Linked DNA regions of Caenorhabditis elegans. The protein of the gene in region 1 interacts with the protein of each later gene in a pairwise test. Each region holds a gene or a part of one and is shown on either strand. Other genes may lie near its edges.

Region 1 (3,756 bases):
ATTGTGTCAGAGTATCTAATCGCTTAATAGATCCGTAATAGAATTGGTGTGGGGTTGGAAGAAAGCGGGAAAGAAAAGGCTGTTGATAACACAACAAGAATTGTATCATTGCCAACGAAACCGAACAAAAAATCGATAAAACATTGCCAATGGCAGTTCCAAGTTGCAAAGAATAAAAACATTGAAAATTCATGGTCTACATGTAAAACACGAACAACTTATCTCAGTTTTGAGAAAGTTGTGAAATTAATACCCAGCATTGGAAAGTGTGTTTGTGACAAGATTTAGTGATTATTATTGGAGATTAAGTAAGAGAGGGCTTATTAGACTACTATGTCAAGAACAAATGGTATAGAAGAAACATTGAACGCTCCTTTTAAAGAACGAACAGAGACAGGAAAAATCCTAAAATAACGTCCTAATTTCCAAAGTTGAAGCCAGGAGCCACGTTGGAGTTGCTCTTATTGCTATTGTAAGGGCATACGTAGTTGGATGGGAAAATTCCACGCCTGTTGTTCAGCTGTCCTTCCCACCAGTTTGGATCGTCTTTGTTGATCACTGAAAATAAAATATAAGAGATTTTCTAAATGTTTTATTTTTCGGGGTTGCTCAACCCCGACAAATAGATGATCAACCGATTAACTCTATTTTTACGTTGTGAACATTCATAATGCTGCAAATTGTATCTTGAAATCCAATGTTTCTCCGAAAAGTAAATAATAGCCACAGAGTTTTTTCATTTCAATTTGAGTTTATACAAAAACTAATCTAACAACTGATTTTCAATACGTGCATTTATTTGTTCCAGTGAAAGTTAGTTTAAGCAAGACGTCTCATATTATCTTCCTAGTACTTTGTATTACCTTTTTGTTATTTTTATGGTTCTTCTTAAATATTCTTGTTTTAAGATCTATAAAGTGAATAGTTTCAAAATTTTCGAAATACAGTCCAAGATATATCCATTTTTACCATTTTCAATTAAACCTAGAATTTTTTGATTCAAACTTTCAATTGAACATTTTAAAATCATGAAAATTTGTGTTTCAAAAACACTTACAAGTGATAACATCTCCTCTTTTGAAAGCTAGCTCTCCACTCTCCTGTGGGTTGAAATCAAACAGGGCCTGTACAAATTTAGTCTCCACATTCATATCTGACAGCAATATTGTGTGAGTACGCGAAACAGAAGCGGTTCTGAAAATTATTGATTTTTTACTTTTTTTTTGAAAAAGTGTGACTCACCTGTGATAAGCAACTAATTCATTCAAAGAGTTGAATTTGACAGCCCACAAGTAATATTTACCATTTTGATCACGCAAAACTTTGAAATGTTGTACAGAATCTTGGAATCTGGAAAAAAATGTATAACTTTTTGAAAATCTATAACATCTTCTTACCGAACACTGATCGAAAATTCTCCTGGACTACTTTCACACTGTCGGACAAGGAAATGACCATCACGTACGGTTGGCTTTTTCAGCAATACTTCTGCGTCATTTCTTGTTATTTTACCAAGGTACCTAAAAATCCAGAAATTTTAAAAATTGTTTACGCAAGCGTTCTCAGTTCTTCGCGCCCTAGCTGCGGGGTATACAAACAAAAACCGCGAGAAGTAAGATCGACTGATTTTTAAAATATAAGCTTATAGATTAAATCCTCAAAAAAGTCAAACTATTTTTTCCCGAACATACCAATTGCATTCAGTCATACGAATATAATTAGAAGGAATGAATCCTTCATTTCCATCCAATTCAGCTTTATACCAATGTGGATCTTCATCTTTGTTCAAAACCTGCAATTATTGATTTTATCAGGGCCCGGTTATGATATTGTTGAACAAACTTTTAGCGTGTTTCCTCTCTTGAAAGACAACTCATCAGGTGATCCCGCCTGGAAATCATGCTCGGCGACCGCCTCCATCGTCTCGCTACCTGAAATATACTCTTTGCAGCTTCAGAAACAATTAACACCAAAATAAAACATAACAGAGTACATTGAACAAACATTGTTGTCAATAAATTGGCCTGCTTGAGAGACTGTATCTACATATCGACATATCCGCGCGGCGCCAATGAAAAATTATTAGAGCAATAAAAAAATCTAGCGGCAAAGCATAGAGGAACAACTGAGAGGGAAAATGAGAATGAGAAGAGCGTAGTGCAAATTGTAACAGGAGATGAGTAAGAGGACCGGCGAGAAAAAAGAAGGATAAATGAAATTGAGAAACGCAGAACGCAAAATAAAAACCCGCAGGGTCACTAGTTCGGTGATTGAGGTGGTTTTAGTTGAGTGTTTGAACGTGAAAACGGGGAAACAGTGGAAACAGTAGAAACCGGAGAGTAACAAACCGGGGCAACACTAAGTGTCGTCGATTCCGGCGCATTGTATGCAACACTAAATGTGCCGAATGCTACGACACTACTTTTCTCTAATACTCCAAATCTATCACGCGTTCTTCGTGTCTCTTTTTTCTCTCCCATCTTCGCACTGTCTCTATCTGTCTCTCCCACACACACACAAAAACAACGGCGAGTTTGGGCAGGCCGGACCGTACTGTTTTCCGCAATGAGTTCTGTAATTTACATGGTTTCAAATGGAGATTCAGAGAAAAAAGTGCGATACGCTATCAGCAGTCATCATGCACGTCTTTTCTTACACTTTTGAATGAATGGCCGGAGAAACGGAAAAGAACAAATGAAAAGTGATAAGAGAACACGAGAAAACGAAGAAGAAAGAATCAAATTGAAAATGCTCCAAGGCATTGGGTATTGCAATTCATCGATTAGAAGAATGTCAACAAACACACTCCCACCTTGTCCTGTCCAGCCTGAGGTGACTAACCGTCTAGAAATCAAAACATTTGGGTGTGCTGGGTAGTCAGTACCGATTCTCTTTTCAAAAATAAAAATGAAAACTATTTCGGAAATAGGGCTAGAGATGATAAATTAGATAGGAAACATAAATAGATTGCAACTTCAATCAAATTTTTGAACTTCAGTTGCTGGAAAATTATTTAGCAGTTAAAAAATTTAATGAAAATTACGAAATAAGACTATAATTTAACCGATATAAAAAAGATAATCGAACCTGTGACAGTTACTCATAAATACTTGACATTTTAATCGGTGAGTGTACGTAAATATAATAAGGAATAGTGTTTTCTAGCTGGAAACCAACTGTATTTACTACTAGTTAGTTTGACAAATGTGTATTTACCTGACTAATACAAAATCGTAAGAACAGTATCTATAGTAAAACTAATATATGACTGAAATTAACTTTTTTAAGAACCAAAATATTAAATTTTGTCACTGGTTCTTTAAATATATCCATATAACTTTTCTGAAAATTCTCACTGTTTTACAGTGTGAACTTCCAAGAGCAAGGTTATGTGACTGATTTGTCAATAAATTTACTAGGTTCCGTAGTCGGCAACTCGTGGCCACTTCTCAACCTACTTTGGCCACTTTCTAACTGCCATTAGATTTCCACCACTTCCCACTTCTCGACCAACTTTCGTCAACTTTCACACACTTTTTCTAGTTGCTTAGAGCGTAAAAACCCTGTTTAACCAACTTTTGCCACTTTTGCAAATGACAGTTAGAAAATGGCTAAAGTTGGTTGAGAAGTGGCGCCGATTTACCGAATAGATTAACATTCTCAGTAAAACATTCTGAATTTGTATCGTTAACAGAAACTTAACCCAAATTTTAAATTTAGGGTTTCACTTCATTTAGAGGCTTGAAAACATTGCCT
Region 2 (3,756 bases), 3.1 Mb from region 1:
TGCTCGAGTACGTACATGCTTTGCACATCATCATCAATTTTTGACAGCTTCTTTCTCTGAAAATATTACCGTATATGTTATTCAAAGATTTTTTGGCTACAGCTGATTAAACTTAAACTTACAAGCTTTTCAGCTAACATCACGTTACTTTCAATCCTCTCATCAACACCTTCCAAATCTGCTTCCATTTCTTGAATTCGCCTTATTTCTTCATCATCCGTACCCTGGAATTTAAACTTTTTTAAACTTCTGAAGGCATAATTTTCTCATACCAAGTTTTTCAGTTCCTCTCTCATTTGCAGTTTCTTCTGAGCATTGGCTTGTTTTGTGTTCTCAATTATCTGCGTGTCTTCTTCCATTTGCTTATTTAATTCAGCAATTTTGCCCTGAAAATGAAAAGTTATCTCAAAACTAGATGTACCTAGCAACTAACCATCAACTTCTGAACGTATGCTTCTGGGTCATCAAGAGCTTCAATAAGTTCTGGCTTGTATTTTGATAGCTTATTTTCGAGCTCTCTGTTTTGCTCTTCAAACTGCGAGCGTTTCTCTTGTAACTGAAATAGTTAGTATGAAATTTTGACACTTTCAATGACAAACTAACAGCTTTATACTCTGCAAGTTTCTGCTCATATTCAGCTTGTAAAACTAAGTTTTCATTATTTTCTTCCGTCGCTTCTTCAACAGTTTCTTCTTCCTTATCGACTTTTTTGGCAAAAATTGGCTTTGGTGGAAGTGCAGGCTTTGTCAGCTTGAAGTTGAAGTCTTTCTCTGTGTGACTGGAGTTTATGTATTGCGAAATCCATTTTCTAGGATCAGAGTTTGGGATGGGTTTATTGAAGTTGCAAAGTGGGAAGGTTTCCGGAGTATTCTGAAAAAAATAGATTAAAAACTCTAAATTCAAGTTTTCAAGTTCTTGTTCGAAATAAAACTGTTTGTTTCATAGAAAATTAGACAATTAATGTCAGAGTCCAGAAAAAAGTTTTGATAATTTGAAATTAGCATTCAATCAAGCTCAGAAATTTGAAAAGTGCTCAAAAATGGTATGAAGGATGTCAATCAAGTTTGATAATTCGATAATTGGCAATTGTTAAATTTCAAGCTACCTTTGAGTACATTCTCAAGTGCTTCAGTTAAAGTGAAACTTTTTTTTAGATAAATCGTCTTTTCTATATTTTCACACTAATTATTAATGAATAATGTCGGTACAACAATACATTCGGCTTTTTGTTTCAGAGTTTAGCTTCAATTCAAATTTCAAAAAAAAAATTCCACACACATTTGGCAATTTCCATTCCCGATTTCTGTTCAATCCACGACAGTACACAGGAACCCATTCTGGTTGTGATTTCTCGTGTTTGACTACACTTTCCAGAAACTGATGACCCTGGTCTGAAATCAATCTTTTTTTTTAAATTTTTTTTAATGAAGTGAAGATTAGTGTTTACCTAGAGAAACGGCCTCTTGTGCGTCGGCCGGCAATTTCCTTATCAGTTCAATGAATGCACTGCGAAGATTGTTGATATTGCCGTATAAAACTGTGTGAAGGGCGGTGTCTCCGCGAATGTGAAATTTCTGAAATGAAAGGAATTATAAAGTTGAGATTAGTCAGGGGTTGACGTTACCTGCAGATAGTTAGAAATTGCGTTTCCAAGTTGCAGCCTGGTAGTTATAACTTTTGGATATACATATGACGAAATTGTTTGTTTACTACTATTATCTATTTTCCAAATACATCTGAAATATTGTGAATAAAAAATTAATAAAACGAAATCAAAAATAATAAATATTACCTTACTAAAAACTCAAAAATCTGAGGTGTGCTGAATTCTATTTCATCTTCATCAGCAAACGAGCTGAAAATAATAATATTTTAAAGAATAAAATTAGATTTCAGACAAAAAACATACCACTCAAGATGTCGGCAAGCGTCTCTGATGAAAGCATCAGCTTCCTCCATTTTCCGCAGGTGAAATTCCCTGAAAACAAAATAAATAGTGTTAAATGTTCATGTATATATTAGTGATAAAAGATTTCAGTGGTATATAAACAAATAAAAACAATTTGTAAAACATAGATAGTGAAAAAGAAAAAAATCTGCATTGCGTCCGATGCGCAGAATTCTACGACATTTGTTTACCGTAGTCTAAAAAAGAAGGCAACACACGGGGGATGGACACAGAGTGACCTAGTGACGGTGGTAATATTTGTGAGGCATGAAAGTTATTTTTCGAGAATTAATTTTGAATGTGAAACTATTCATTTTTACTTAAATACAAACACCGAGATCATATTTGCGCAAATTTAAGCATAATTTAAAACAAGATGTCATGAAGCTTTCTGTGCTACAGGCATTTTTGAACTTTTGAAAGTAATTTTTTTTAATTAATGGTTTTTCATAATTCAAATGAAAAGATTGAGGTTTGCACATTTTAAGAGCACCATTTTTGTTGCGAGGGCGAAAAACCACATTTCTTAACTTCTGCAACAAAAATTCGACAATAAAGCATTGTTTAACTTACAAGGAAAGTTTTTAAACTCACTTTAAAAAAACTCTCTAAAAAGGTTTATGCAAAAGTATCGCAACAGAGAAACACTATGAGCTGATATAAAGCCGACCTGAAAAATAAGGCCCGCAAAATTCCTAACAGAATTTTATTCCTAGTGTTTTCAAGTCTTAAACGCTCCTCAGTCGCTATACTTTCAGTTTTTTTTTGTCAAAAGTTTCCATTACTAAATATTTTGAAAATACTAATTACCAAAAGTCAGATTTACAGGTAAAATATTTTTTGTGGTAGAATTTTTCTTATACTTCACTGAAATTCGAGAAAAACTCCGCCTCGAATATATGTTATGGACATCAATTGAATTAAAAATTGCATTTTCTGCATACATTTATAGTTTGGACAATTTCCAGTTTGGTTGAAAACTCAAAAGAACAGCATGATCCAGAGAAACAAATTAGTGCGGAATATTGTCTCTTGGGGATATAAGTTCCAATTAGAGTCTGATTCATTTGTCTGCATTTTTGATATTTTAATTCAAATTTGCTCAATCGCAACCATATTCTCACATTTTCCGTTATTGTTTGTTTCAATAAGTTGTTTGGAACTATTAAAAGCAAAACTCTTAAGAAAGAGAATCCCACAAAAAGGCAATTGCATGGATGTCCTGAAAAACCGAATTTACTAAACAATTTGCATGTTGTTTAAAATTTTTCTAGTTTCAGTTATGCAAAACGTTAATAGAATTCTATGACTCACTAGAGTGATAATTGAAAAATCTCCGCCGAATCAATGAACTCTAGTGTATTTACATTATTACGCTGCCAGATTTACAACATCCATAGTGGGAATGACGACAAGTGTGAAAAAGGTCGTAAAGTGAACAGCTGGATGTGTTGGCGACCCGTAAAAGGTCAGTTTACTCTATGAGTACAATATTTTTGCGGCCGTACATTTTTTGGCGAAAACAACTACTATCGATTTCAAAATTTTGATGTTTTCGTGGTTTCATAGTGGCACCTGCTGGCTAGGTCTCAGCTGGAGAAGATTGAGCCAAAACATAGACAAAGAGCAGAACAGTAATCCCCAGTCGATTGAGTGCTCTGATCCACCAGCGATCATAAAGGTATTTGTAAATCTGTCAGATTTATGGATTACCCCTACTCGGTTTTATGGCAATACTGTTTGTGTCTTTAGCGTTTTCTGGATTGGCAGCAGTTTTGGATTTTTTTTCTTACCTGTCATTTTGTAGG

Evidence for each region. The genes of interacting proteins can lie anywhere in the genome.
Region 2: the proteins of sem-5 (region 1) and R08E3.3 interact in a two-hybrid assay, tested with the Caenorhabditis elegans proteins (3 studies listed by BioGRID).

Annotation. Positions count from the first base shown.
Region 1 is NC_003284.9:7,959,793-7,963,548, forward strand, and holds the start of sem-5 (Sex muscle abnormal protein 5), read right to left. Parts: upstream 1,932-3,756; 5' UTR 1,921-1,931; coding exon 1,843-1,920; intron 1,793-1,842; coding exon 1,692-1,792; intron 1,521-1,691; coding exon 1,398-1,520; intron 1,351-1,397; coding exon 1,243-1,350; intron 1,195-1,242; coding exon 1,058-1,194; intron 559-1,057; coding exon 419-558; 3' UTR 1-418.
Region 2 is NC_003284.9:4,816,821-4,820,576, reverse strand, and holds the start of R08E3.3 (CCDC22 N-terminal domain-containing protein), read right to left. Parts: upstream 1,985-3,756; 5' UTR 1,960-1,984; coding exon 1,910-1,959; intron 1,856-1,909; coding exon 1,793-1,855; intron 1,737-1,792; coding exon 1,625-1,736; intron 1,575-1,624; coding exon 1,448-1,574; intron 1,392-1,447; coding exon 1,279-1,391; intron 871-1,278; coding exon 604-870; intron 557-603; coding exon 434-556; intron 387-433; coding exon 273-386; intron 225-272; coding exon 123-224; intron 57-122; coding exon 1-56.